2 linked regions of the Tribolium castaneum genome follow. The protein of the gene in region 2 binds, or shares a complex with, the protein of the main gene of each other region. Links are inferred from orthologs where the notes say so. Each region holds a gene or a part of one and is shown on either strand. Other genes may lie near its edges. The genes, in order: Polr2K and Xpd.

Region 1 (14,731 bases), about 23 Mb from region 2:
AATCTACAACAGTGTGAGTACAGCATAAACATTCATGTCGAAAATATAGCGTTATCAAATTGTTGAGAGTACAAACTTAAGATTATCCAAAAATTGAATACACCTAAAATGATGACACAAATTTTCATTCATTCTGGTGCTTGATTACTTTGAGAAAAATAACACTAACACGGCGTGTTAATTAATAATTAAAAAGCAACACCTGTTTCGTGAATGTATAAATTATTTAAACTGGTTAAATTCATTTAAAAACCTTTTTATACAAAACCTTGCTTAGAGCTGAACGTGTTTTACGAGGTGACATCACTATTTCAGGGGTCAGAAAATTTGAATTACTTTTATTACTTATTACATAAAACTAAACTATACAAGGTTAGTCTGCTAAAAATATTTTTTACTGTATCTCACAAACTAATAATCACATATAACACATAAAACATATTTATCTGTCTTCTGTCATCAAAATGCTGAAATATTGGCAAAATCCTTCAGTTTCATTTTTATTTTTTATATTACATTAAAACGTCGGAATCATTTTAAATAATTTGTGTCAACAACCAACTTTTAGGGCGAATTTTGAAATTTAAAACACAGTGTCTTCAATTTGATACACAGCAGCAATTTTTTAATCAAGTTTTAAGAAAATAAAAAGTTTATAATTACACTCTTCAACTTTCCTGTTTTCTGTAACGTTAATTTTTGCTAATTCACCTATCTAGTAGGTGATCTAGAGTGACTGTTTCAGTTGGCAATACTGTATTTTATTTTTAAATGAAAGAAAACAAATGATAACTACTATAGCCATTAATTCCCAAAAATGTGAAAATATGTTGTATGATTATATTTAGTGAGAATTATTACTATTAGCGTCTTACAAAATCAAAATAGACTTCTAATATTTTGATTAGTCGATATACAAAGTGTGTTAAAATGATTCTCATCTAGTAAACTTTATATGTAAATTAATTTTCAATAAATTGATAATTTCTGAATGCATTTCAGTAGTTCTATAAAGCGGCATTTCTTCGATAATAATCAATTCTCAAATAGTTCTTCTGTGATATAGCGAAAAATTTAAATGTGACATAAAGTTAACACTAAGTAATTGCCATTAATTGTTAAAAGTGTGAAAAAATGTTGTATGATTAAATTTAGAGATTATTATTGCTAATTAGTGCCTTATAAAACAAAAATCGACATTTTAACTAGATTTTTTTAAATATTTATAGAAAATAATTTTTTGAAAAATTTACGAAACCAAATCAGTGTGTTCCACAAACACAATAAATTAGTAGGCGGGTGTCCCAAAAGTTTCTGAAAGTGTATATTTGGTTGCATAACACAGCTCACAAAACTTGTAAAATATTTCTATATTTTTTCTAATACATTCAAGTTGATAAAATTATTACGTTATAGTATTACGTTATTTAAATAAACTAATTTGTGAATAAAATAAAAATAATGAATACTGTTTAAAGCACGAACAAAGATTGTGCATTTAAAAGTAGATCCCTGAAGAGTTGATTACAACATTTTTTCCTTGACCGCGAATTCTTTAATTCTGAAATTTCCCAAATAAAAAACAATTTTACCTAAAATTCAACCTCAACCTTGAGATTGCTGTTATTCAAATTTATTATAAATTAAAAGAAAGAAAAACGGTAAACATTCGGTGAAACTCAGTCGATTCAAGAGATAAAATGTAATGTGTGAGATGTAATTTTTGGTTTAGTGCTGCTGGTATTTTTGGTAAATTGTCTCCAAGAACAGTTCGCCAGGAGCCACAAAAATTTCACCTCAACGAATCGTTGACTTGGAAGACGTTTTCTAAGATTCAGAAGCTCCATAAAGCGCAAATTAATCTGTTAAACGTCAAAATCTTATGAAAGAAGAGAAACATGTTAATTATAATCACTTCTACTCGAAATAAGGTGTCGAAGCTAAAGTAAAAAAATGTCTCTTTTCCGTAGAATACGGAAACTTGAATACATTTGTATTAATTGAATATTGATTTCTTTTCGTCCATTGACATAATTTCATCAAACGTAATGCAAATTTTTGTAGCAGTAATAAAACTAGAGGTAATAATCACCATTTAGTTGCTGTTGTTGTTGCATGGTCGCGTGATGCGACAAATGATTATTCACTTGAGATCTGTGTCCGATGAGACTTAAAGTTGTGAGATCAGGTAGCAGCTGGGGTATACCTGGCTGCATATTCTTCAGTTCTGTACCAGCAGACATGTTTATTCTGAAAATGAAGAAAAAAATACATCAAATTTATGCACATACACACAATACAATCGCATTTCGTGGCATGTTTATTGTTGTTTCACAACAGTGCCACACCTGCGCCCTTTTCACCATCCGGTTTGTTGTGTGGTGTCTCGCGACCGCTTTCTCGTGACACGAAATTATTTTTCTGGTTGCGATTTTTCAAGTCAACATTTAAATTAAATACTCGACCTAACACCAAACATTTCTTTTAGGTGTTTCATTACTCAGTAGCTCTTTTACTTTTTGGCTTGTTTAAAGATACGTACACTTTTAACAATCAACAAAAAACAATGTAATTAAAAAAAATGGGCTGTCAAAAAAGTATATTTTTACTGTATCTCAAAACATAATAGTCACATAGAAATCGGCTTTTACTATTAATTACATCCCGATTTTTTATACATATTATGTTTTTACTCGTATTAAAAAAATAATTAACTTTCAAACCAATGTATCTTTCAATGTATCTGAACTACGGAAATAATTCTCAACAATTTTATTTTTTATGTCACAAAAATGCTTAAATGTTGGTAAGTGCAAAAAATATGATCAAAAAATTATTAATTAAATAAAAATTAAACATTCAAAGAATGTTATTTTGGAGCTAGTGATATTTATTTTTTTGCAGCTTTTTCGTTAAAAATATCATTTAAAGTTCGTAAGCACTACAAATAATAAAATTCGACTAATGATAGTAATTTTTTAATATTCCTTAAAAAAAATCCATGTTTCATTTAAATACCAATAAATTAAAATGCTACAATTCTACAAAAAAACAGATCCTGATTTTAATGTAAGTACTTTAACCCAATTAGTCATTTGAGAACCGAAAGAATGAAGGTTATAATATACTGAGGTGGTTACTAAATCGGGGCAAGGGCAAGGGCAAGGGCAAGGTCGGGTTTTCCGATCGTTTAATGCAGGATATGTTATAGCCATTTTTCTTTTAACTTATTATTTATATTCATTTATTGAATTTTTATTAAATATCTTTAAAAATGTGAATATTAATTTAAATTGTTATCCTATATTATATTTTCAACAAAAATATTCATATCATGGCAAATATACCTGGCGTCTAAATTAATTTAAATAAAAACAAATTTTAGATAAGCGACTAGAAAAGAAAAAAACTAGTCGATTTTAGAAAACTAATAACAGTGTCAATATTTTTATATAAAATTTATAATTTTAACAATTTATAACCTGATGCTAAAACGCAGTTTTTATAGTGTGTATTCCACAGTTTCATAAATTAAACATGACAACAAAATAACGCAATGTGATTGGCTTAGAATTCTCATTACCCAAAAGTCTGTGGGTGCTGACAACAATGTAAACACGGAAGTAAATTCTTAAAATAAAAACTTCAACACTGATAAGGTATATTTTTAAGCCTGTTTTTACAACAAAGAATTGTTAAACAAACTATGCAAAACAATGAAGTAGTTTGTAGACCACAACCACATTCCTTGACAATTATTTTTAGCTGAATAAATTATTTTACATTTCTCTGAAGTTTATCTGACCAAGTGATAAAAGACATTACACTGAGATAAAAGTTCCTACGAGAAAAAATTGTATGAGCCTTCTTTCACGAAATAAAGCTCTTCATAGCTAGGTTTTTAGTTCAGTTTTTGAATTTATTTAGCGAAAAAGACAAATCTTACAAACATTTAACAAACTCACAAAGTAAACAATAATTAAATATGACATCATTGGAAGCAAAAGAAAAACAATTAAAACCAAAAAAAAACAAAAGAAAATTAGAAATCAAATTGCTTAGAAAAAAATCTGATTTCATTTATAAGCTTTAATAAACGTCCCTTAACCATACGAGTTGGTCCGACGCTTTTGAATCACCCTGTATAAGTTTCTAACACTATCATGCCTCCAATTAAATTTCAGATCACAGTGGCCAATGACTTCGAAATTAAGTTGGCTACATTGAATTTAATGTAGCCAACTTAATTCAAAGTCACAACTCACTTTAATCAAAAATTTAAAATTTTAATCTGTATTTTTAAAAACTGATTTTGCGGTGAATCACCAGGTGTGTGGCAACAGTGTATAAATAAATGCAATATGATAGATATTATCGCAATTTATACCTCCTCAAGTCATGAATGAATGGAAATGAGGCGTGTATTAAAATAAAAATCTTTCGAGGAAAATGACACTAATTAGTGATAATTTATGGAAATTTAATTTAATAAAAAAAAATCATGACTTCATGCAGTCACCACTGTAAACATAAACAGAACAAAAGACTGCCGCTTCCAACAATAGTCTCTTTATTACATATTTTGTAAAGAAATTCAAAGTAGCTTTGTTTACTCCATTATGCAACGATAATAATTTATTTAATCTTTACTTAATCTCGCCGCTTTCTACGATGAAATCGTGTCGTAAAATCCACCAAAATCCCGTGTTTATTTACCTGAGAGAGGTACCTTGTCTAACCAACAGGTGTTATTATTACATTTCAGTCCTTTGTTGGTTTTCCCTGCACTTTTCTAATAAACCACACACAAGTCCACAACTGCAATCGAATAAAACGAACGTCATACGTAATACTGATAAGATAACCGAACGCGCGTCCGATTAAAACAAAAGAGAAACCCTAAAAACAAGTAATCAAGTCGGCTCCTGTTCCACAGCCAACCCCGCACTCCCGAATAAATGCACCGGATCAAGTCACCCTCGCCGGCCCTCGTCGTAATAAAACCAGAGGGAAGAAAGTAAATCGGGGAGCGCACTTTTGCTCCACCTGTACAACCAACTTTCACTCAAAAATGTTACGGCGTAATAAAACAAACCAGCGCTCTGTTGTTACTTGTTTTGTTATCATCGGAAGAGCAATGCACGGCAATTGCGATTACGCATCGGAAAAGAAGAAAGGACAAGTGTGCTGCGGCGGCGGCGGTGGTGACTTGATCCGAAAATAGCAATTTGAAAGTGAAACGAAACGACAGTAGGCCCTGGCCTAGGCCAACAGAGATCTTGAAAATACGGTTTCAAGGCCACGCCGGCTGTAGGACAAGACAACACCGCATTTACGCCAACTTGATTTCTACGTATTTACCTCGTCTGATTGTCCTAATCTCGGGCTGACATTGGCTGAAACATGTCAGAGGGGCCACTTTAGCACACGAGAAGAGCGTTTCCGAGTTTGACATTACATAAAACTCGTTAATTTCACTGCGTTTTCGGTTTCTTTTGTCGCGAGAGCACTTGTTTTGGATACATGGATGTCTGGATTTTAGGTGGACGCGGAGTGCGCACGCGCACGCGACGAAGGGGGTTTTCGGTTGCGTAACGATGGGAAATACGATTTCGGAGGGGGCGGCGGTGGCGGACAATTTCTCTACAAAAGAGGGATTAAAAATATTAAAATGCGTCGACAGAAATTTTCCATCAAGATGGCTGTGACGCTGAAATTAGGTTGGCCACTGTGAATAATTTGGAGTAGTGACACTGATTGGCAGGGGAATTACTAGGAATAAGTCAGTGTGCCAACATAATTAAATGTCAATGACATCTTTAAATACATCCACATTTGCTATCCTTTTTAACCAATCAAATAAAAACTTCGTCGAAAATACGAAAACATATACAGGATGATTCATATCTTACCTCCATGAATATTTTGCAAAAAATAGTTTAAAAAAAGTCTAACTCTACCGATAACACGAAGCGATAACATGAATCTGTGACTTTCGAATTTCGTTGGCAATACTGAAGACAGTAGAAACAAAAAAATCTTATAATCAAAAGTATCGTATCTTCTGTGACTACATTATTCAATGTTGCCAACTTATTTTCGAAGTACAGACCTCTTTAACCAGGAATTTAAATATAAAAAAACACAAATTTATGTATTATTTCATTCGACTATAAATGTGTTTTGATTTTCAAAACACCTTTTATCTTTCAAAATGACCTAATACACCTTTGACAAAATAATTCTAAGATAAATCAGAGAATTAGTTATTAAACAGGCAACTGTTCCCTAGCTTAATACTAGATTTTGTTATTTTGTAGGTACATTATCATTTTTAAAATACAAAGCAAAAATAAAAAGAATAAACAAGATAAAAAATGATAACGACCAATTCTTACTATGATTATTACAACTGGGATATTATTATCATTCCGATGCCTCGTATTACAGCAGTGAAACGTTAACAGCGTAAATAAACTACAAAAATGTACCATTTCCGCATTTTGTCGTAAACAAAGCCCGGTTTAAAAAATAAAAAAAAAGAATTCACTTAATGAATGTAAAAAATGGGAGAATAACAAACCTCCCTCCCCATTTACTTATTTATTCTGAAGTAACTTGTATTGTTCGCGTATGAAATAGAGAACATAATTTTTATTTAAAATTTTGTGGAAATCTGCTAAATGGAAAATATTCAGAAAAAAAAAGTTTATCTCAAAAGTAATAATCTCACAGAATCCACATTTGTTCTTAAAAATACTGGAATTATTTTCTTGCACATGACAGAATTTTGCTACAATTCTTTTATGTAATTAACATTAAATAATAATAATAATAATAATAATAATAATAATAATAATTTTATTTTAAAACAAGCCATACGTACGTGTGTTTAAAAAATTACATAAAAATTGAAATAAACGTAATAATTTCAAAACTAGCAAGTTTTTCCTGAAAACCATAAACTTATAACAAAACGGTTTGTTCCATTGAATTCTACGGCTCATTCTACGTATTATATCAACTTTTCACGTGATTTAAAATTTGAAAATTACTAGAATAAAATTTTGGTGAACTCTTAGAACCTTCACAAAAATTAAAAAAAAAACTCACGCTACCAAAGTTTTATGAATTTTTCTATGCCTTTACAACCTTCGCGAGTTATTAGAAGTAGAATAAAAGTCAATAGATTCGATTTTTTGAAGTTTGAAGATTTTTCCAATTTTGTCGCGATTTTGGTCGATTTCCGGTACCCGGAACATTTATCGAGCAATAACTCCGGAACTATTAGAGATTACCCTATGAAGTTTATTATCGTTGGAAAGCTCTTTTAATTATCTGTATTTTTCAAAAAAGAACATTATTCTCCGACTAATAGTTTTCGTATAAATTAGATATAAAAGCAAAAATATGTAGAATTTAAAAAAATTCATAACTAAAAAACAATTGGAAATTTTGCAATTTTTTTGACACCAATCGATTCCCCGGATCATTTTACATAAGCTAGAATTGAAATAGTTCTACTTTTTTAAATAGTTTTGCGGTAATTGAGAAAATAAAAAAAATAAAAATTTGTTAACACCCCCCCCCCCCCTGTCTCCAAAAAATTCAAAATTTTGAGAAAAAAAAAAATGCCAAAACCCATCCTATTTGATAGATTTTGATCTGTTCTTTACAATGGAACAAACCGTTTTGCTGTCGGTCTTATAGTTTCGTCGCAATTGTTCCACTTTTCGTCGAGATTTTTGTCGATTTTCGGTACCTGGAACATTTATCATGTAATAACTCCGGAACTATTAGAGATTACACCATGAAGTTTATTATCGTTGAAAAGCTCTTTTAATTATCTATCTTCTGCAAAAAAGACTATTGTTCTCCGACTAATAGCTTTCGAGAAAATTGTAGAAGAAAGCAAAAATAAGTAAAATTTAAAAAAATTCATAACTAAAAAACTATTCGAAATTTGACAATTTTCTCGACGCCAATCGATTCACCGGGACATTTTCCATAAGCCAGCACCAACATGGTCCACTTTTTAGAATAGTTTTGCAGTAATTGAGAAAATAAAAAAAATGAAAAATTCGGTTTTTTGCAATTTCTTGATAATTGAAAATTGACAAGTGTCTCAAAATCAATTAAAACCCATCTTGTCTGATAGATATTGAGGTATTCTTTACGAAGGATCATTTTACATAGTTTCATATGAAATAGTTCCATAATATTCGAACAGTTTTGCCGTAATTAATTAAAAAAAAAAAAAAATCCGACAAAATGCATGGCTGTCCAATGTCTCAAAACCTTAAAACCTATCCTACGTGATAGGTTTTTTCCATAAAATTTAATAAAATCACACCATGGTTGTGGTCTCTTAGGCTCAAAAAAACATTTTGGGGAAAATCAAAAAAACACTTCAAAAATCAAAATTACCTCAGTGCGCTGGCGGGAAACCGGCACGCAACGGTAAACCTCGCCGGCGCCCTTTCAGCACGTGGTGCAATAACACAACGCAGTTATCGCAGCCCTAGACGGCCATCATTGGCCCCCACGTCCTGCACCACCTTCACTCCTCCGACAATTGTCAGTCCAAAAATCGGCGAATTTTTTACTCTCGGCGTTTTCAACGGCGAAGCCACACGTCGCGACCGGCGCGCTCAGACACCGGCGTAGAACCTGCGTGTATTTAGTTTTATTGATCGCACATGGACGACCTTGAATTTGGTTAAAGAGGAGGTTGCGTTGCAGAAAGTGGTCCTGCACTGCCCTTGCGCGAGACCTTGAAATTTTCGCTACAACTGGGCCCTGGGAAATCGATGCATTGCCCCAGGTGGTGCCCAAGGTGCTTGAATTGTCGGACGTAGGAAAGGGGAAAGACAGGTTTGCAAATAATAACCCCAATGTAAAAAACACTCTATTCCAACCTTAATTAATTACAATTTTTTCACCGGGCGTCAAACACGGCCACTGGATCAAAGTTAAGGAAAAATTAACTGAAAATTTGCAAGTGTTAGTAATTGATAATAAAAGGATACATCGTTTGGTTCTCTTCTTGTACATAATACGGTACCCACATTCCCGGCACCTGATTGGATCCCGCGGCCTTATTTCGTTCTCATTGTGGCATTCTAAATAATTTTCGAAAATTTTCAAATCAAAACATAACCTCACTTTCACGTACCTCCGCAAATGTAAACCATGGGAGTTTTCGTGGCCCCTGAGTCTTTGGTCGAAGGTTCCGACATCCTAATCACTTAAATTAGCACAATTTTTAATACAAACGAGCGGGAACGTAGTTTTCTCCTCTAATAAATTTTGTATAAAAACAACGCCACCATGCCGACTTAGGGAATTTCATCTTTTTTTTGTTATTCCAACGGTTGGCAACGCCAACGTATACAAGCGCGAAATTCAAAAAGGTGCAGGAATTTTTGATAGTTTATTAAAATTTTATTGAAATATAATACGTCCATTCCACATACCCAGCTCGAATCGTACTTTGTAACACTTGACCCGTCTTCAAATATCGATATTGTCATCACAATATGGCCAAAATTTGTTTACAATATCTCATTTAATAAAATAAACTACACAATAAAATAAATAAAACAAGCTAAAAAATACAAATTCACTATAAATGGCTACGGTTGCCTTTAATTAATAAAACTGCGATCCTCAATCGTCATATACATCCCTTCTTCCTCATATGTCGAATCATGTTTTGCCAAAATACGCAATAGAGGGCGCAGTTTCAACCACCATTGCTCTTTAGGCATACGCAAGCTAAAACAATTTAAAGTAATTATAAAAAACAGTTTAATAATTTATAAACGTACTCAAAGTTGGTTTGTTCTTTCAACTCAGCGACTGGTGTAAACTTGTATTGTCTTTTAACGATTCCTAACAGAACGACGCTGTCTTGACTAGAACAACTGACTGAGCCGTCTGAACTCATATTGCTTTTTAATTGGTTGATCATCCATTCGACCGCTTTGGACGCCATTTTGGTACCAACATTGCGGTCAAAAGGTGTGGGGGAACCCCCTTGTTGCATATGACCTTAACAATACACACACAAAAAAAGTATTAAATTTTTAAACAAACAAACGTCTATATAAATACCTAAAACGTTCATCCTGGCACTAAACAAGCCTTTTCCTTCCTCACAATACAATCTGTAGATAAAGTCGGTATTGTAGTTATCTGACGCTTTTTCGTTACGTAAAATTAAACCACGTTGTACACCTTCGGACATTTTCGTAGCCATGTGGTAGACATCTTGTTGCAAGTCTTTAATTGTGAATTTTTCCTCGTAAATGTACGCAGCATCCGCACCCCCAGCGAGACCTAACATGTGAAAATAAGTTGGCGATGCTGAATAATGAATGTGTTGGCAACATTGACTGTCAAACTTAAACATTAATATTTACCTTTTTTATATCATTAATAGATATTTAATTACCCCATGCATCAAATATACAAGGTGTATCAGAAATAAGATAATACAAGTAATACGAACTCCTATATTTTATTTCTAAAATGGAGGATTTTGGAAGAAATAAATTACGTCAAAAACTAAGTAGTTCTGAAACAACCTGTATAGGGTCGAATATTTTACGTTTTGAGACACAAACTGTCTTCATTTCATACAATGTTGCCAACTTAATATCGATATTACCTGCAAGTGTGGCCAAATATCCGCAATACCCGCCCATGGTTTCAATAATAAAAACCCTCCTTTTCGTGCCTTGAGCCGACTGTCTGATTCTATCACAAATTTCGGTGATTTCGTTCAAGGCTGTGTCACAACCTAGTGAAAATTCCGTCCCTGGTACATTGTTACTGATAGTTCCGGGGATTACCACGATTGGTATATTGAGAGCTGGAAAATCTTTACGGCTGTCTAGAAATTGTACAGCGGCTGCAAATGCCTAAACCACAATTTTTAGTTCTTCGAGCCGGATAAAGTTAAAACTTACTTCAAAGCCGCCAATAATGAGTAAACCTTGAATTTTAAATTCGGCCAATCGGGCGGCTACTAAACCCATACGATTGCCAGGAAGGGTGCGTTTGGTGCCCAGATTTGCACCCCCGATGCCAACCCAACCAGCCACTTCGGCCCAATCTGAAAAAAATTCGTTATTTTTCAATATTTTACCCACAAAACAAAAAACTAACTATTGTCGTCAAAAATAATGTATTTCCTGAGTGTCTACGCATATTTATATGGAAAAAACTTATTAATTTTTTTTATTTCGTCCATTTTGCATGAAAAAGTTTAATTAAACTATTTTTCGAGAGTTTTACTGCGTTTTTAAGTTAATAACTTTAATTATATCATTAAATCTTGTTCAGAGTAATTATTTTACTGTTACTAATTTTGCAATATTTTAACCAAATTATCCGAAAACGAAGTTAATGATGATCGAAAAACCACATGTTTCTTTCAAACTTTTAAAGACGGTTTTTTGAGCGATAAGATGATTTAACAAAAATAAAGGTAGAAAAAAAATGATATGACATAAGAAAGTGTGAGAGGATCTTATAATTAAAAATTACGATACGTTTGCTGCTTTTTATCCCATATTTTTAAACGAAAATCTCGGTTACAAAAAATCAAACGTTATTCATGCGTTTTTGAGTTGAAAAGTTGGTTATTTATTTACTAATTTCGCAATATTCTACATGAAATTATGTGAAAAAACAACTGTTTAACCGAAGAAGACGTTATTTTTGTTTTTTCGAGAGCTGTATCACCACTTATTAGGCAAAATTTTACTCAAATTAGTCGAAAAATTAGTTCTCTTCATCGAGAATTTATTGCTTTTGACCCTTTTGAGCCTTTGAAAGTGTTTATGAGCAAAAAAATATATGTAAAAAATGAAGATGGAAAAAGAAAGAAGCAAGAAAAAACTAAATAGTGGAAGAAAAAACAAAAGTAAGTAAATGCTTTTGAAAGAACTATCTAATACAGTTTCTAATCTGTTCTCAATTAAAAAATAGCTATATTTTTTCTACAAAAAATAGAGTAATTTTTACCCAAAAAACTAGCTAAAAATAAAAAAATTGATACACACCCATTTGTTTTATATTGCCAGCGATAAGACCTTCAACTCCTTCCTGAATGCCCAAAACTGTGTCTCCTCTGTAGATAAAATTTCGTACAAAAGAACGTACAGCGGCATTCATGCCACAAGCAGGAGCCCCAATATGCATTACGGCCACTGTGAAACCTTCCTGAATGGCAACACAAGCGAAATAAAGAATAGTATACAGAGTTTAATTAAACACAAAAATGTTAGCACCACTTAAGTGTTAAAAGCCAAAGAAACTATAAAGCAGAAATCTTTGTAATTACTATATTTTCAAAACATTTGAAGAACATTTTTGAAATTTTGATACTGAATTCAATTGAATACATGACACAAATAAAGTGACGACACAACAAAACATAAGAACCAAATAAAAAGATTTCGAAAAATTGAAAAGCCAAATTTTAAGCATCATACTCACCGAACAATGATCAGTTAGACGCTAAAGCAGAAATTAATCAAAATTTTGCAAAAACAAATGAAAACAAACTTCAGCCGATTTTCTATCACATTATGTACGCATACAAACATGCAAACATTTAAAAAATAACACTCACCCTTCCATGTCCTTGCTCATCAAATGCATCCTTTGGAGGCTTGAGTCGAGTCAACAACTTATAAGTCTCCAAATTGCGCATAAATGACTTTCCACGTAATTCCACCGCCAAATCAAATTTCTTATCAGCCATTGCCTGTGAGACGGCTTTTGTTCGCTTCACGCAATCCATTAACGGCAACCTTAGAGAAACAATTATTTTGGAATCGAGCAAAATAACTTTAAAATTAACTATTAATTAATTAATTATTAATTAACACAGAAAATAATCTTCTTTTTAGAATTTTGGCAAATGATAATAAAATATTTAGAAAACTTTAAGATCATTAAAAAAATGAGTAGTAATAGGATGTAAAGAATTTTTTTATTACAACGAAAAAATGCACTTTTTGAACTATCCAACTTTGTATTTAGAATAATAAGTTGTATAACAGATCAATTTTGATCGAAACTGGAATAATGTAAAAAAAATTGGAAAATGTAGAGAAAGTGTTAATTAAAAAAAAATAAATACAGCTCACCAAATTATTATAAAAAAAATCTAGAGAAAAAGTTATAAACGAATCTATAAGATCTAAAAGTTCACAAACGGCTTAAAATCAGAGAAAAATTTTAGAAAAAATCTAGATAAGAGAACACAAATAATGTTAAAGCATAATATGGAAAAATTAGTATGAAGAAGCATCTGGAAGAAGTTCAGATCAAGAAACAATTTTAGCAAAAAAATCAAAGAAAAATGTTAAGAAAAATCTAGAGAAGAGTACAGCAACAAAATGCTAAAAAATACTCAGAATAAATTCTAAACAAAATTAAAGAAAAAAATTCATTTAAAAAGAGTTAGTAAAATTTATATGAATTTGAGAAATGTAGAAAAAAATGTGAAAGACTAAAAGACTAAAAGACTAGAAGCAGTGAAAAATAATTCTGGGTAAAGTTTAGAGAATAGTTACAAATAAGCATCTGTAGAAGAATTTATAAAAAAAATCTAAAGATCTGTAGAAGAGCTCAGATTTAAGATCAGGAAAAAACTGAAAAAAATCTAGAGTACAAAAACAAGGCTAAAGAATAATCGCGAAGGATTCTAAACAAAAAACAGAAAAAAAAATAAAAAAACGTATAATCTAAACGAGAATTTGTAGAAAGTCGAAAAAAAATAATTGTAATGAAGCAACTGGAGAAGAATTTATAAAATAATCTAAAAAGCTTGTTTTATTAAATAATTCAAAAAAGAGTCCCGATTTAAGATCTAGAAACGGTTTTACAAAAGAATCAGAGAAAAATATATTTTAAGAAAGACGTAGTACAGAAACCATACTAAGAAATAATCTAAATGATTGAAAAAAAAACTAAAAAAATCTTTAAAAAACGCAAAGTAGAATCTAGGAGAATTTTTGTATTTACTTTATTTTATTGTGAAGAAGCATCTGAAAAACAATTCGGAAGTCCAGGTTAAGAAACGAATTGAGTAAAAAATAAAAAAAAACTAAAGAAAAATTCAGCAACAAAATGCTACAAAATACTCAGGAAAAAATCTAAACAAAATTAGAGAAAAAATTTCATTTGAAGAGACTTGGTAAAATTTACATGGATTTAAAAAATGTAGAAAAAATGTGGAAGAATAGAAGCAATGAAAAATTAATTTTGGCTAAAGTTTAAAAAATAATTGCAAATAAGCATCTATACAAGAATTTATATAAAAAAAAATCTAAAGATCTGTAGAAGAGCTCAGATTTGATATCAGGAAAAAATCAGAGAAAAAACTGAAAAAAATCTAGATAGTACAAAAACTAGGCTAGAGAAAAATCGCAAAGGATTCTAAACAGAAATATAAAAAAATAAAAAAAACGCAAACTACAATCTAAAAGAGAATTTGTAGAAAGTCGAAAAAATATAGAAGCAAATTAATAATAGAGTGTAATGTCCAAAAAATACTTGTAATGAAGCAACTGGAGAAGAATTTATAAAGTAATCTAAAAAAAGCTGTTTTATTAAATAATTCAAAGAAGAGTCCCGATTTAAGATCTAGAAACGGTTTACAAAAGAATCAGAGAAGAATATATTTTAAGAAAGACGTAGTACAGAAACCATA
Region 2 (16,590 bases):
GCTTATTATTTTATTTAGACATTTCGTGAAATGCTTTCAACGTTTTGTAGATAGCAGTTACGCGATATGTTCTATTCATACATCAGTAAGATTGAAAATTAACATTTCTCTTCATGTCAACGTTACAAAACGTTCCGTTTTATCAAGAGAGCTCTCCCACATCTTCACTTAATTCAATAATAATGATCGAAAATTTGACTCGATAACAGCTTGTATAACTTTCACACGGGATTCTGAGGATACATAAGCGATTGACGCAATTGCGTGCCAACATTCGTAAAATGAAATTTCCGAGTTAATTAACAAAGTCGAGATGGTTGCGACCGGATATCAAGACAGGTAGTCGTACCTGCACAGGAAATCACCGTTTAGACGTCTTGGAAATACAATGAAGATCTCCTCAAACCCGTGTGTGATGCATAAAATTCTCGACAAGCCGGATCTGAGCCGGTGCCAGTGACATTATCTTGCCGATTTTTTATTTAATAGAAAACTGATTTAAATCGTGTCCACAATTTCACTAATGCTGGAGAAAATCAAACTTTAAATAAATTTCATGCTAATTATGATTCGTCCTACTTTCTACAATAAAACTGTTCATTTTTCTTCACCTACCAAATTCTGTTTGAGGCACACTCCCAGCGAGCCCACATGCGCCTCGGCGCTTTTCTTGAGGACGAGCATTTTGGGCACTTCACAGCAAAGTTCACATTTTTGGAAATGGTTGGCAACAAACAACTTCCAGTAGTAATAGAAAAAGAATGATGAATATGCCGGTCGGCGCCAAGTCAGTCGAGATTATTGTCCATACAGGTGCTCAAAACCATCGAGTTCATGGACACCAGACGATGACCGCGAATTTTTCGATGGCCCACTTGAATCGCCACATGAAATTATCACGATCTGGGCGCGAGACCCGGCAATGGAATTTTAGAAGGATGGTAGTCCTAGAAATATCGAACCAACACACTTTTATCTCCAATCTCCTGGTGTACGCCAATCAAAAAATCTTAAGTTTCGAATTTGCATTCTGCATAAAACAACGAACAGAACCACTCATACAATCGAAAAATGTTAATAATAATTACTCAAACGTCGTGAACAAAAAAACACAAAAATAAAAAGTTTGGCGGTGTATTCAGTTCAGCCATTGTTGCAAAATCCGCAATCGAAAATACCCAAATATTTACATAAGCCACCGCTAGCATACAAAATGTTTGTGCAATTAAAAAGTTTGTTACCTCATTTCATTGTAAAAGGTAATGAATGGCGTCCATGTACCACAATAGTAAAGATAATGAATGACGTTGAAAATTCACGACTATTAATCATCGGGAAACACGATTATCAATTTTTGTCAAGTAATTTACTTGAAATTCATGTTTGCTGATATTTCCATAAATTTATTGCACCACGAGTGAAATTAAAAATTATCCTCTTAATGGATATTATGTACATTCATCATTCAATGAGTGAAAGTTCGCAATTTTTATTATTATCACAAGTATCTTCAGATTTTTATGCAAATTTTCGTAACCGTGTCTACAATTATCACAGTTAATTTTCAGAAAATTAAAGCTCTCAATTATTGCACGCGCAACTGAGTTTAATAGATTTAATGACTACCAATGAGATAAGATAAAAATGTGTTTCTGGCGTAATATTTGGACTTTACACTTACAATAATTTAAGAACAAAGAGGCGTCGGACTGGGAAAACTAACTACACCCAGTTTGTCCTAATTCGATTAGATTAGATAGGATTTAAGTATTGATTTGTCTTTAAAAAAAGTGTCACCAAAGTTGCATCAAAAATATTCCCCAAGATGACGAAAGAAAACCAACCATTTCGCAAATGTATCACAATCACCGACCACAGTTTTACGAATTGAATTACAATACTAAAGACAAATAAAATGATTTCTGTACACATCGACCATCACGTAACAATGTTTCACCGCTGACTGCGGTAAAAGGAGTTCGATATCCAAGCGCAGACAGTCGCAACGAAAACGTACCGTAACTCGGGTATTATTAAACAAATAACCAAACAACTGACTTTGTCCGCAACTTCAAAACTCGAAGCTGGTTTTCTCATTTAAATTCTTTTCTAGGTGGAGGTTTGATATGCCCAGATGGAAACTGGTTGAATGTGCATGGTAGCTGATGGGAAGCGTAAAACAATATAGCGAATAGGAAATCGATACACACCTCTGGGAAATTTCTAGACGGGAGGGAAACACCAAGATTTCAAAGCTTCTCAAGAAAAACGCAAACAGAAGACTTCAATGCATGTTTATTACCCATTGATAAGATTTATCAGATAATAATTTATTTGTACACAAGGCAGCTAAGTTTAATTTTTTATCACCAATATGAATGTAAAAAATAACTTCAAACATTCATTTTTTTCAGAAATGCTAATTAAACGAAACATTATGTAACCAAAACTACACACATGTATACTCTGTGGACTATTTCAGTCATTTTTAAGACGATTTCCATGATTATTCACTGACGAATATAACAGATTAACCATCACTAAAATAACACTTTACGGACTATTTGAGAAAACAAAGAAAAACAAACATAGATTTTTTTAAAATTTTGGAGAAATAGATCATTTTTAAAGTTTTCTTTACCGCCCACATCGGGAAACGAAAAACTCGACCTTCGAAGCATCCTCAAAAATATTTTGCATAAACATGAGATATTTTCAGAGATTATTGCATTTTACTGTTTACAAAAACAAAATCTCATGATTTTATTTGCAACATTTGAAAATATCTGAAACCACAAACCAGTCATGATTTTATGGTCTAGTGAAGTTTGAATTTAGATAAATTTCCCCGAAAACCGGCCTAATCTAACACTACCTGTGATGTGTGCGTTAGATAAGAAAAATCACCAGTTTTCTACGTGTTTTTGAACACAAATCGTCATTTCTTCCTGTTGTTTTACATGTTAGCAAACAATGTCTATTTTTGCTTGCCTGTAATTGCCTTAATGACCCTTTATTTTCGCCGGAAAAGATAAGTATAGAATAATTAAACGATTAAAGCCAAAAACATCTGGTTTTATTCCAATCGCTTGAATTCTTGCTACAAATCAGATACAATTAAGTTTACTAGAAAACCATCTGCTCTTCCTGTTCAGTTTTAAAAGTAAGCATCCTTTTTCCAAATCTCAACACCGAATTCCTGTTTACCCGAACGTGGGCACAAATTTCCAAACATTTTGTTTCAGAAAGTGAGTGAATTCCTGAGCATTTGAGGCAGCTCATCAGCGACTTGTTTGTCATTTTCCATACTTGTCACTCATTTAAAAACCCGATCAACAACATAGAAAACAGATATCAATCAATGCCACTGCCTTATGTGTGAGCCTCGGTTAATTAATGTGAAGTTTATCTCGAGTGGCCAGCGTTCCCACCTTTACGGCAAATTATTTATTAATAAGACATTAACCTTGAAAACAGGGATAACCACAAATAAGTAAACTTGCATCCGAAAATAAACCGGTATGAACGTAAAACCTTGACTTACAGCGTAACGCAGCAATTGAGACAATTAAGGATAATTCGCTTAGCCCCCCAGATTATAACCTAATAATTAATCTGTTTACGGCTGCGACCTGGCCACTCGGGCCCGCAAGGACATCCATTAGCCCATTACTTAGCCAAATTTCCAGCTTGTGCGCTAATAGTCGCTATTAACGCTGAGATAATTACAAAAATACATAATTGTTTCTCACCTGGTAATAAGAGTCGGCCATCTTGAATCCAAATTTACATCACTCAAATGTGGAATTCGGACGGTTTGGCGGTGTTTTAACGGCACATAGCGGTTAGAATGAAAGCACATATGAAATTAACGGCTCTGTTTACGTTTCGTTAAATATTCCAGTTCAATTGTAAAATATTTGGCCACGATTTTTCTACATATCACATTACGACGCGCACTGTTTTGCCGGCGCAACACGACTGAATTAGTTTGTTTTCATTGGCTCGCTGAGAAATAGCATGAGATGGAGATATCGGGCCTCGCATGTGGAGGATGGGAGTACAACAGGTGCTCCGATCTAGGCGGCGAGACAGCGCTGGGAATACGATGACATTTAACAAAAAATTTAAAAAAATCGTTAATTAAATTTGAATTTCATTTAATTCCGAGGAATTTTCAGCCACACATCGCCACCAGTTTAATAAATACACACAACGTTGCATTTCTTTGGTTAATTGGGCATTAATTAATTAACACTTCCACAATCATTAAAAATTTCTCTCATCAGTTTCCATTAAAAATCTTTGAATAATTTTTTTTCAACTAGTACTATTCGCTACTAGTGATAGGTTTTCCCGGAAAATGGGCAAAAAATTTATCGCTAAGAAAACACAGCTTGTTTGTCGTAATTTTTATTTTTAAACGATAACAAAATAAATATTTGTAATTTCTATTCGGTTAATTTAATTAGATAATAAGCCACGAATTTTTGTAATACTGTACGGATAAACTGCAAGACTTTAAATTTGACGCCGTTTTAGCGTCATCAGGTGCACCAATACGAATTCAATCAGGAAAAAAAGCAAATTTTATAAAACCACTCAAGAACACCACACAAATCTCACCCATTCTCTTGAAAAAAATTACTCTAAATTACCACAACCAACAAAAAATACAACCATTTATTTAGGCTCCTATCGTGATAACGTAAACACGTTCTAATTTTTTATGGTTGGCCACTCTGGACCTGAAGGTCATTGTTCCGATTTTCAGGTTATCTCCAAAAATTTGTATATAAATTAAAAAAAAAGGGAAACTGTTTTATAGACGTGTTTAAAATAGGCAAAATGTTCAATAAATTTACCTATAATTTTCGCAGGGGCTGTCATTTATGTCAAAGAACCAGACGTTTATTTTCTAGTAAAGCGGGGTATGGGGGCTAGATTTGCCCAATTTAGACTCAAATTTGGATTTTTAGCGCCAACAATCAATGGAACAGTGTCGTGGGCTTGGAAGTTCACGCCCAAATTAACACAACCAGTAAACTATTCTCAAGTGCTTCAACCAAGTTTTCGTCCCCCGTGAACGCAAATGTGGCCCTTTTCGACTGCGCAATTCCCGGCACTTTGCCCGTACTTAACAAAAAATGCGTCGAATTCGGGGTTTTAACGGCGCTAGCTTTGAATTGTCGAATAAATCCCGTCTCAACTTTTGACCGCAAACATTATTTTTACGCAGATCTCCCTGTAAGTTGTTGACCAGTTTTTTTGGTGATTTATATTTTTGCGTTGAGGCCGGTTATCAAATAACCCAGCAGAGACACCCTCTGGCCAACGACGGCCGTCTCGAATTCCAAGTCTTTAGCCCCGGTGTTCACAAAGCCCCCTACAAGAGGCAAGTCCGCATTAAGCAGCTCCAGCTGGAGCAAGACAGCGGAAAGAGCCTCCACGACACTGACCGCAGTCTCGTTGATTTAAACCGTGCGGGGGTTCCCCTAATGGAGGTCGTTTTCGAGCCCGATTTGAGCGACGGCGAGGAGGCCGCAGCCCTAGTTAAGGAATTAATCGCGATTTTGCAACGCATTGGCACTTGCAGCTGCAAAATGGAAGGTGGGCCCCTTTTAAAATCAATGGCAACATTCTTACGAAATTTTTAGAGGGGGCCCTGCGGGTGGACGCGAACGTGTCCATAAATAGACAAGGGGAGGCTCTGGGGGTGCGCACGGAGATCAAGAATATCGGGTCGGTGAGGGGCGTCGCGGGGGCGATTCGGTACGAAATCGAGCGCCAGATTCAAGTGAAGGAGTCTGGGGGGGCTGTGGAGAATGAAACTAGGGCTTGGGACGCTTTGGGTAAAGTCACAGTTTCAATGAGAGACAAGGAGCAAGTGCAGGTTTTTTTTTCAATTTTGTGTCAAATTTTCGAAATTTGCTCAGGATTATAGGTACATGCCGGAGCCTAATTTGCCCCCCTTGCACGTGGCAATGGGTCCGGTGTCTCAAGGGTGCGTCAGTGTTGACTCCCTCAAAAGTTCTCTCCCGGAATTACCGGAAGGAACGAGAGTTAGACTGAGGGAAAGCTCCGGTTTGACTCTAGAGCAAAGCATTATTTTAGTGAATGATAGTTCGCTGTTAAATTTATTTGAGGACGTTTGGAGGGCGAAAAAAATTGAGGGAAAACTACTCGCCAACTTGTTGATAAATGAGTACACCTCGATTCTGAATAAGATGGATTTAGAACCGAGCCAATTGTGAGTTAAGTGCGGAAACATAGTAGTTTAGATCGGGATTAAGTTACATTTTTCAGTTCTTTTAATTCTGACTATTTTGGGGAAATTGCCGTACTTTTGCAAAATGGTGAAATCACAAGAAACACGGTTAAGCTCGTCTTGGACGAAATCATCCAAGGGAGCACAAAACGGCCACTTGAGGTTTGCAAGACCGAAGTTGTTTCACTTACGAATTATTTGTTTCCAGATCGTGAGAGAAAAAAACTGGTTACAGATTACCGACGAAGATGCGTTGAGACAGTTATGTCAGGAGGCCTTAGACCAGAACGAAAAAGTTGTGAAACAGTACAAGGGCGGAAAAACGAAAGTTTTTAAAGCACTTCTTGGATACGTGGCGACGAAAAGTAAACAAAGAGCAGACATGAAAAAATGTGATAAGATTTTAAAAGAATTGTTGAATAAACAGTAATCATGTTAATAAACAGTCGTAATGTATTTGTTGTGTTTTATTTTTTCCTTAAATTCGGGTGAAAACCCGGAATCGTTTGGCGCAAAATATCCTAAGTCTCGACGCGCATAAGATTTCGTGGGCCGATCACAAATGTCAAAAAAATTGTGATTCATATTACTTTTAAATCAATAATGTGTTGTATGTATTGAAATAATTGTAACAATTTGGCCGTACGGTATAAATTTAGCTTGATTCTAACCCACCTGACTTGAAAAAAGTAAGTTTTTATACCCTTTTTCCAACCTAACCTCACTGTAATTTTGCGAAAAAAATCATCACAAATAATTTTGTAGACATCACAGCTATGACAAATTCGCACTCTCCTTGCCAAATTGGGGACCGCGTCGAGAGCGGCGGTTACATCGGAACGGTAAAATACGTGGGCCCCATCGAGGGCAAGCCCTCAATTTGGCTCGGGATCGACTGGGACAACCCCCAGCGGGGCAAACACGACGGCCGCGTCAACGGAGTGCAATATTTCACCACCAGGTATTGATCCCCATTCATTTTTACCCCGACTTTACCAAATTTTAGAAACCCGACTTCAGGTTCCTTCATAAGGCCTGAGAAGGTCAATTGCGGGAAATCAGCCCTAGCGTCGATTGAGTCGCGCTACGGCCAGTTCGAGGATGAATTCACCGCCAAAATCAACAAACAGAAGCAGCTGCTTATCCAACAAAACATGAACGCGCCTTTTTTGGAAATGGTCGGCTTTGACAAGGTTTTCCACAAACAGAGCGACTTCACGTCGTTGAGAATCGTCAATTTGCGTGACCAAGGGATTAATTCGGCGGGTCCGCCGCTACGACTCGGAGAAACGTGTCCGAATATTGAAGAGTTGGACATTTCGAAAAATTTGCTAGTGTCTTGGGAGAGCGTTTTTGAGATTTGCCGCCAGTTGCCGAGGCTTTTTTGGCTGAATGTTAGTGAGAATTTGCTGGACTTGCCAACGATTAGTGAGAGTTTTCCAAACGTGACAACTCTGATTTGTGGGTGTATGGACTTGGACTGGGGGCACATTTGCCAACTTGGACGCATTTTCCCGTCAGTTGAAGAGTTCAGAGCTCCGAATAACAAAATCCGGGGGCTTAGCACACCTGAGGGGTTTTTCACCAAATTAAAGTTGCTCGATCTTGAAGGGAATAACATTGAGTTTTGGACGGAGGTCTGCAAATTGGGGGATTTACCGCACTTGGAGCAACTTATTCTGGAGAATATTGGGCTCCAGTTGATTGAGTTTGAGGGTGATTCCCCCAAAGTACAAGCTTTCAGAGCGATGAAAAAATTATGTGTTGTGAAAAACTTGATCCGTGAGGTAAGACTGAAACTTTGTTCGTTTCCGTTCATGAGAGGATTGATTTTAGTGGCGTTCTGTGGCTGAGTTAAATCGGCTTGAAAGTTTAGAAAATCTGCGATTTTCCAAAAACCCCATCACAGAATCGGAAGAACCTGACACTATCCATCAAATAATAATCGCAAAAATTGCCAACTTGAAAATTTTAAATGGGGTTGAGATTGAAGCCACTGAGAGACGGGGGGCTGAATACGACTACATGAAAAAGTACGGTCTTGAATGGTTGGACGCCAAGGGTACCAACAAAGAGGCTGATTTTCTCAAAACCCACAACAGATATTTGGAATTGATACAAAGTCTGTTTATATTTTTTTTGTTACGTTTTTACGGTTATTTTTGCAGAATATGGCGAGCTGGAAGAGAGTGAACTTGTCTCAAAACCGAAAATTATTAAAAATACGTTGGTCCAATTAAGTATAGTTTTTGAGGACTTTACGGTAGAAAAGAAAGTGCCTCTCACAATGACTGTGCAAAAACTTATAGTCCTCACACAGAAAATGTTCAGCTTGAGTGGAAGGCCCCACTTGATTTACGCCAGCAAGAGCGATCCAGAAATCGAGATTCTTCTAGAGGATGAAATGAAAGAAATCGGAGTTTACTCAATGCAAAATGGTGATAAAATTATCGTGAAAGACAAAGTGTGATTGATTTTGTGTTGTACAAAACCATTAATTTATTCAATAAAGTTTTTAATAAATATTTTCCAAATAAAAAGGTGTTTTCTTCTTGAATACTTGAATACATTACATAACCCTACTTATTATAGAATCTTTGAATAACTGATAGAATACGTGGTTCCAGCTCACAGGACTTAAATTTTTAGGCCCCCTTCTTCCTTACTAATCGATTAGCAGCAATAGAAACGTTCCTATTGTTAGAAAATATTACAAAAAATTGCATAACCGCACTTTTTTCCAAACATGCCATAACCTAAAAAAACTACCGGGTCAATGTAAACACCACGGTTTCACCCAGCACCATACAAAAAATGAAGTAAGAACCCGACTATTGGCACTTGAGTTGCCTCAAAACCGAAAATTTTAGACTAAACGTCGATGGCTTAATCGTGTACTTCCCCTATGACTACATCTACCCCGAGCAGTATGCCTACATGTGCGAGCTCAAGCGGGCCCTGGACGCCAAAGTACGCTCCCCGCCTTTCACAGCCCCTTTTTTATGTTAATTTTAGGGCCACTGCCTTTTGGAAATGCCCTCAGGGACGGGTAAGACCACCACCATTCTCTCCCTCGTTGTTGCATACATGCTCGAGCACCCCCATGACGTCCGCAAGTTGATCTACTGCTCTCGTACTGTCCCCGAAATCGAGAAAGTTATGGAAGAATTGAAAAAACTGCTCGAGTATTATGAGAAGTTGGACGGGGAGTACCCCCATCTCCTGGGGCTGGTTTTGTCCTCACGGAAGAATCTATGTATTCACCCGGAAGTAGGTGATTTGGGGGTGCATAACCGGGCTTGATTTTGCAAATTTCAGGTGAGTACTGAGCGCGAGGGTAAGATTGTGGACGGAAAATGCCACGCACTAACGGCGAGTTACATAAGGGAGAGGCACAATTACGATGATACAACTCCCATTTGTCAGTATTACGAAGGTTTCGCTTTGGATGGCAAAGAAAGTACGATGCCGTTTGGGGTTTACAGTATAGATGATTTGAAACAGTACGGACGGGACCGCAACTGGTGCCCCTATTTCCTGTCTCGTTTTGTGGTACTTGAGGTCACACTTTACATTGCACTTCTGACCCTTTTTCCTAGATAAGTTACGCGAATATCGTAGTCTACAGTTACCACTATTTACTAGACCCCAAGATCGCCGAAGTCGTCTCCAAAGAGCTGACACGAGAGTCAGTTGTTATTTTCGATGAGGCTCACAATATCGATAATGTTTGCATCGACTCAATGAGTGTGAAAATCAACAAACGAATTATCGATCGAGCTTCCGCCAACATCCAGTTATTGGAACGTACTGTGGCCGAGTAAATCCCCGGAAGTTTAAGTTTTCTCTGGATTTTTTAAAATTTTTTAGGATGCGTGAAGACGATCACAAAAAATTGCAAGAAGAATATCAGAGATTAGTTGAGGGGCTGCGCGACGCTAGCGTGGCGCGAGACACTGACGTCATTTTGGCCAATCCGGTCTTGCCCGACGCCATCCTCCAGGGTAATACCCGAATTAGATTTATATATTCCGTGACGTTGAAATTAAGTTGGCAACACTGAGTGATATAGACACAGCTTAATGCGTTGACAAAAATGAAGAAATTTAGTGATTTTTAGCCAAAAAACTTTGTACTTAACAGCTTGAGAATTTAAAAAATAACACTGTTTTCAAAGTTTGATAATTTTTAACTTATTTTTAGCAAAATTTCACTCGAAAACGAGGTCATTCGAATGAAACAAACTCAATAGTATAATTTTCGATTTGTGTATAATTTTTAAACATGTTTAACAAAGTTAAAAAACTAAACAGATCTGACCTGACCTGACCTGACAATAAATAAATAAAATAGGTAGCATCAATTGCGATATATTTTCCTGGATTTTCATCCTTTTTTCAACGAATTTTTTTGGAGGAAAACCTTGTTTTTTTCTCATAAACCTGGTAAACACTCGGTAAAGCCAAATTTGGTTGACCTAATTCAGTCGAATATTTTTCAACGAAACAATCTTCAACGAAATAACTGTTTCTAAATAAAAACACATGAAAAAAGCAAAAAATAATGTCATTTTCGATTAAATAAGAATCTTTTTTCTGCTGAAATCTCTCAAAAGTAAACTTATTTGCTTATTTTTTGTCTTATTTTTGAGGGCATTATTCGAAATCATTGAACTTCAGGCTAAAACAACCATACAAAATGCTCGGAAAATGCAAAAATAATCGCATTTTCGATGATATTTTGTGATTTGTCCGCCTGGTTTAGTAATGCTTTGAGAAGAATTTTGTAGCTCAAAAATGCACTTAAATGCTAGACAGAGGCAAAAATATTGCCATTTCCGAATTAATTTTTTGGGCTGATTGTTATTTATTATGTCAGTAATTCGAAAAAAAATTAAATTGCGTAATTTATTAATTTTCAGAGGCCGTCCCTGGAAATATTCGCAACGCCGAGCACTTTGTCAGTTTCCTGAAACGTTTCCTCGAATACCTCAAAACTCGGCTGCGAGTCCAGCACGTGGTGCAAGAAAGCCCTGCTGGATTTTTAAAAGACGTCCAATCCAAAGTCTGTATTGAACGAAAACCGTTACGTTTCTGTGCTGAACGCTTGGCATCTCTGTTGAGAACTTTGGAAATATCAGACTTGACCGACTTCAGTCCGGTCATTTTAGTCACACATTTGGCCACTTTGGTGGCCACTTATACGAAAGGTTTTACGATAATCGTAGAACCGTTTGATGATAAGACACCGACGGTGTCAAACCCGATCTTACATTTCAGTTGTTTGGATTCGTCGATTGCCATAAAACCGGTTTTTGATCGGTTTCAAACCGTGGTTATAACCTCTGGAACCCTATCCCCTCTAGATATGTACCCCAAGATTTTGAACTTCCATCCTGTGATCATGTCTTCGTTCACTATGACGTTGGCCAGGCCTTGTTTGCTACCAATGGTAAGTCCAGAGGTTGGTGGAGTTCATCATTGACCATTGAATGTTAAGTTATTTAAATAAATTTGCACAAAATTTATAGTATATGTGCGGAATAAACACCGTTTATTTTTTGCATTTTTGAACGTAGCTTTTCATGACTCTTTGTGAGGAAGTTTTGGGGTAATTATTCAAAAACCAAGAATAATAAAAAAAAAAAAATTGAATCATTTTTAAGGAAGAAAGTAGGTATGTTTCAACATTTTTTGGAGAGTTAAAAAAATGAGGAAACTTTTAAGTTTTATCACATAAAAATATTGAAAGATTGGTGTCTCTTACTTACAGTAATTAGTAATTAACTAATTACTCAAAAGATGCGATATTAACCTTTAAACATGAAAAAAATTCACTAGTGGAAAAAATGAAAATTTTAGCTAATAACAACGCTTAGGCCATTATTCGTCATTTATTACAGAAAAATAACTGAACCATTTATCCGTGGAAATTACTATAATTTATTTATTGAATAAGAACTGAATTAACATTTAAAGTCAAATATCTTTTGATTTATTAACTTCAGACATAACATACAGTTTTTAGAAAAATAAAAAAAAATGGATGTTCCATTTAATTAATTAGGAACCTGTTCAAAAATCGTGCCAAAATAATGCAGTTGATGTTCCGCAAATTTGATAAAAATGCAACTACGATATATTTCACCATTTTTAAATATAATATGGTCTGATTAGTTGGAAAAAGATGAACAAACGTGTCCGTAACATAAACACTCATTACAACTTACAAAAAAGTAAAAACTTACCCTTTCTGTTGTCCTTGGAGCCCTGAAATCAAAACATTGATATCAAAAAAGATTGCTTATGATTTAAACCAGTTAATAGTAGGTATTTCAGAAAATGGTAACAGAATTTTTTGTAATTCGGAAGTTGAAAGTTGTATTACTGTGAAAGAGTATATTGGATCTTATCTTTAGAAATTTCTACTATTAAGTTCAAAACTTTTGATACTTTTGATTTAAAATTAATCAATAAATCGTCATTCATTCCGAAAAATTTTATTCTTCAAAAATAATAATTACATTATTAACAAACTTGATAATGTACCCATTATTTTATTTTAATTTATTTTATTCGTAGTATTGGCAAAAAACGCTTGGTTCCATACCATATTCAGTGAGCGGATAAATTATTATTAACTATTATCTTATTAAAACCTAAGATATTTTATAATGGCAGAAATGCTCGAACAAATCAATTTCTTTTTAGCCATGTCGATAGATCTTTTAATTGTTGAACCAAAATAAATAAAAATAAAAAAAACTATCCAAAAGAGTGAAAAGCGTAAATGTTTAATACCATCAAAAAACAAACACAATTTCAAATATCTAACAAAAAATAATTCTTTTATTTAATTAAAATTTTCGAAATGTTCCCACATTACGAAGAACTTCCGGACTTTTCAAATCGTCTAAATTTTGTGGTCTATTCTCTGTTTTCTCTCCAATTGTTTCCAAAAATACAAAAAGAAGGTAATAGGTTTGTGTTTGAAACTACTCTCATGATTTTTTTTGTCGAAATAACAAATTTATTAGTTTGCTTTTTGTTAGTAGTATTAAAATTTATGTTGTCACCTAACATTTCTAGAACGGGCTTTCGTTAAATTCTATCGGTTGCGTAACACCCATCAGATCATCTCCATTCACTACTTTAGCAAATATGCAACCAATAAAAATCTATCCGACGATAAGTGGTCTTAGAAACAGAGGGTAAGATGTTTCGAAGAGACTAAAAAATTAGGGATTCCATTAAAAAAATTCGAGAGACCATTACTCAAAAACCTAAAGTTGTAAAATTTTCAGTTCAATTGAAAAGAGAATTAGCCTGTTGGACAATTTTTGCATTTTAAAGTTATGTCATGGAATATCTGTAGGGTGAAAAACGATATCTTTTAATGAAGACGGCGAAAAAATCATACGTATAATAATAGCACTGGAGGAAGAAAGTCTCTTCTCTTCCTTAGATTACTGTACTCTGCTTCGCTTTGGGCATTAGTTCAACTTCGGGAGAGAACCTATGTCTGTCCTCTCTTGGTATACAAATAACTACGAGTGTGGTTTTAAATAATTTTGCCGCTAACTGTATACTTTTAACATCATTATCATCATCTCATTGGTCGTTTTAGATCGTGTCAAAAGGCAACGACCAAGTCGCAATTTCGTCAAAATTCGAGACACGCGAAGACAATGCTGTTATCCGAAACTACGGCCAACTCTTGGTCGAAATAGCCGCCAATGTCCCCGACGGAATCGTCTGTTTCTTCACCTCTTATCTCTACCTGGAATCGGTCGTGGCCAGTTGGTACGACCAAGGCGTCATCGACAGCCTCCAAAGATACAAACTCCTCTTCATCGAGACCCAAGACTCGGCAGAAACGAGCTTCGCCCTCATGTACTACATCAAAGTATGTTTTTCCCCCAGCCTGTCCACAGTCGGTAAAGTAGGAATTTCCAGGCTTGCGAGTCGGGCCGCGGGGCCGTGCTGCTCTCCGTCGCGCGGGGCAAAGTCTCCGAAGGGGTCGACTTCGACCACCACCTGGGGCGCGCAGTCCTCATGTTCGGCATTCCCTACGTGTACACCCAGAGCCGCATCCTCAAAGCGCGCCTCGACTACCTTCGGGACCAGTTCCAGATCCGGGAGAACGATTTTTTGACCTTTGACGCCATGAGACACGCGGCCCAGTGCGTGGGGAGGGCTATCAGGGGCAAGACCGACTACGGTATCATGATTTTCGCCGATAAGAGGTTTTCCAGGTCGGATAAGCGGTCAAAGTTGCCCAAGTGGATCCAGGAGCATTTGAAGGACTCTCTGACGAATCTGTCGACGGAGGAGGCGGTCCAGGTGAGTTGGGGGTTGTGAGGGAGAGTGGCGTGAGTTTGACTTGCAGATTGCCAAGCGGTGGTTGCGACAGATGGCGCAGCCGTTCACTAGGGAGGACCAGTTGGGGGTGTCTTTGCTCACTTTGGAGCAGTTGCAGAATTTGGAGGCGAGTAAAATCCAAGAGCAGGCGCAACAAAATTGATTTGTTATTATTTTTTACGTAATAAAGTATTTTCAAGAAAAAATGTTTTATTCCTGATTTCCTGACCCAATTGAGCGTAAAATGCACTTACACTCCTTTAGTACGAGGTATCTTGTTGATTGTTTCCGGTGTGCGCTGCAAGTTCAGTGAAGGAGAAAACTAGTTACGATTTTACTTGGAATAGTACTAATTGGGTTTGAAGTTAGTTAGAATATTTAAAAAGGAAACTGACGATTATTTATTAGACAAGAATGCATAATAGTTGTTCGTAACCAGAAATTTTAGGTTTTTTGCGTGAATAGAACGTAATCTGAATGCCTGACTCGTTTTTATGTCACCAATAAGAGAATATATGGATAATTCTGGTTTCTGATAAGTAGCGAGATTGCTGATGGTTGATATTAAAAACTGGATTTCCGTAATTAACTCGGATGAAGATAATTATCTACACTCATTCGCAAACTATTTAAATAGTTGTAACATTTCGCAACAGAAAATTAACGATTTAATCTGAAAAAAAAACAACCGAGAGGATAAAAAATATGTTTGGTGCAATGCATTATATTGTACAAGCTCGTGCTATGTAGCATGTTATACACTAATAACAATTTTTTTTTTAATTCTCAAACTAAGGTAGGTACGCTTAGGGTATGTGCAACTAATAATACACAAGAAATATTCATTAAGGTTCAATGAACTGTTAAAATAAAGGATTTGCGTGAAATAATTTTGGAATAATGTATAAGTAGATATACATACAAGTGTTCTGAATCCTCACACTGACAACATAAAATTATCTCGTGAAAAATCTGGTAACAGATTTGGACGTATGTCTCCTATTATGTATGTATTTTATTTTTGTTAGCAATTTGCAATACTGCAGTCGAAAACGATTGTGCTTGACAAATATTATACGTAAAACCTAACAAAAATATTGAATTATTGTTAGTATATGGTTCGTTTAGCTCTTAGAAATGAAGTTAAGAATTGTCAACCGAATTAGAAATTCAAAATCACCTTGTAGAAAAAATTAAATCCAAAATTATAACTGATTGAATCTTATTAGTTGTCATAATACGGTAGCAAAGTTAGGTACAAGCAATATTTAAGCGGTGTCAACTCATGAAAAGATAAAATTCCTCGTCAGACAAAGCTGAAAACTACCCAGATTAATTTTTTTGACTGATTACCAAATATGATTTAATTTCTTCCTAGTAACAATGAATGTTAGTTTTTGTTATAATTTTACTATCAGATTGGGCGAATATTTCGTGAATAAACTTGAATTTTTGGCTCAAAAATCTGTTTAAGAGGTCGAAAACTACAAAAATTAAACAACATTTCGCCTATTTTGGTACTTTTAAAACCATTTTCGCCCAAATTTCTTGTTTTTTTAAGTTTTTTTAAAGATAACTCAAAAGACTCACAATTTTTTTCCTATACTTATTATTTATTAAATATTAAAGTGGTAGATACATTAATCGTACAATAAATGGGCATAGGGTCAGTTTACAGAACGCGAAATTAAGATCCAATTCAGAATTAAACTGATAAGTATAAGTTAATTATAAGTATAAATATAAGTATAAGTATACGTCTGAAGTAAGTATTTTTCATAAATAGGGAGAACTAAATTCAAACAGGCGAAACGAAAGAAAAAATAGCTAAATTCTTAGCTCACGATATGGATATAAATTAATTTAAAGCCGGTTTATAAAAAGCATTGTTAAAACTTAATTCATTGTTCAAATTTAACAGTTTAACAACGCGAATGGACCAATCAAATTTATTCTATTGGG

What was found.
Region 1: Xpd (region 2) and Polr2K share a complex: the UniProt entries of both Homo sapiens proteins name them as parts of the TBP-based Pol II pre-initiation complex. The link is inferred for Tribolium castaneum from reciprocal best matches to the Homo sapiens genes ERCC2 and POLR2K.

The regions. Positions count from the first base shown.
Region 1 is NC_087394.1:4,862,679-4,877,409, forward strand, and holds Polr2K (DNA-directed RNA polymerases I, II, and III subunit RPABC4), read right to left. Parts: upstream 9,368-14,731; 5' UTR 9,240-9,367; coding exon 9,176-9,239; intron 9,123-9,175; coding exon 9,030-9,122; intron 8,962-9,029; coding exon 8,939-8,961; 3' UTR 8,896-8,938; downstream 1-8,895. Other genes in the region: AGO1 (protein argonaute-2), read right to left, coding at 2,093-2,243; Pfk (ATP-dependent 6-phosphofructokinase), read right to left, coding at 9,648-9,777, 9,831-10,053, 10,117-10,341, 10,673-10,925, 10,974-11,119, 12,072-12,231, 12,508-12,528, 12,644-12,824. UniProt on the Homo sapiens protein: DNA-dependent RNA polymerase catalyzes the transcription of DNA into RNA using the four ribonucleoside triphosphates as substrates.
Region 2 is NC_087394.1:27,618,293-27,634,882, forward strand, and holds Xpd (general transcription and DNA repair factor IIH helicase subunit XPD), read left to right. Parts: upstream 1-8,903; 5' UTR 8,904-9,082; coding exon 9,083-9,087; intron 9,088-9,138; coding exon 9,139-9,238; intron 9,239-9,283; coding exon 9,284-9,538; intron 9,539-9,586; coding exon 9,587-9,820; intron 9,821-9,867; coding exon 9,868-10,088; intron 10,089-10,138; coding exon 10,139-10,272; intron 10,273-11,189; coding exon 11,190-11,719; intron 11,720-13,894; coding exon 13,895-14,173; intron 14,174-14,223; coding exon 14,224-14,610; intron 14,611-14,656; coding exon 14,657-14,791; 3' UTR 14,792-14,839; downstream 14,840-16,590. Other genes in the region: Pkn (serine/threonine-protein kinase N), read right to left, coding at 616-684; GatB (glutamyl-tRNA(Gln) amidotransferase subunit B, mitochondrial), read left to right, coding at 4,849-4,931, 4,980-5,247, 5,295-5,610, 5,658-5,893, 5,937-6,250, 6,307-6,430, 6,477-6,698; Tbce (tubulin-specific chaperone E), read left to right, coding at 7,045-7,229, 7,275-8,055, 8,105-8,390, 8,437-8,738. UniProt on the Homo sapiens protein: ATP-dependent 5'-3' DNA helicase. Component of the general transcription and DNA repair factor IIH (TFIIH) core complex, not absolutely essential for minimal transcription in vitro.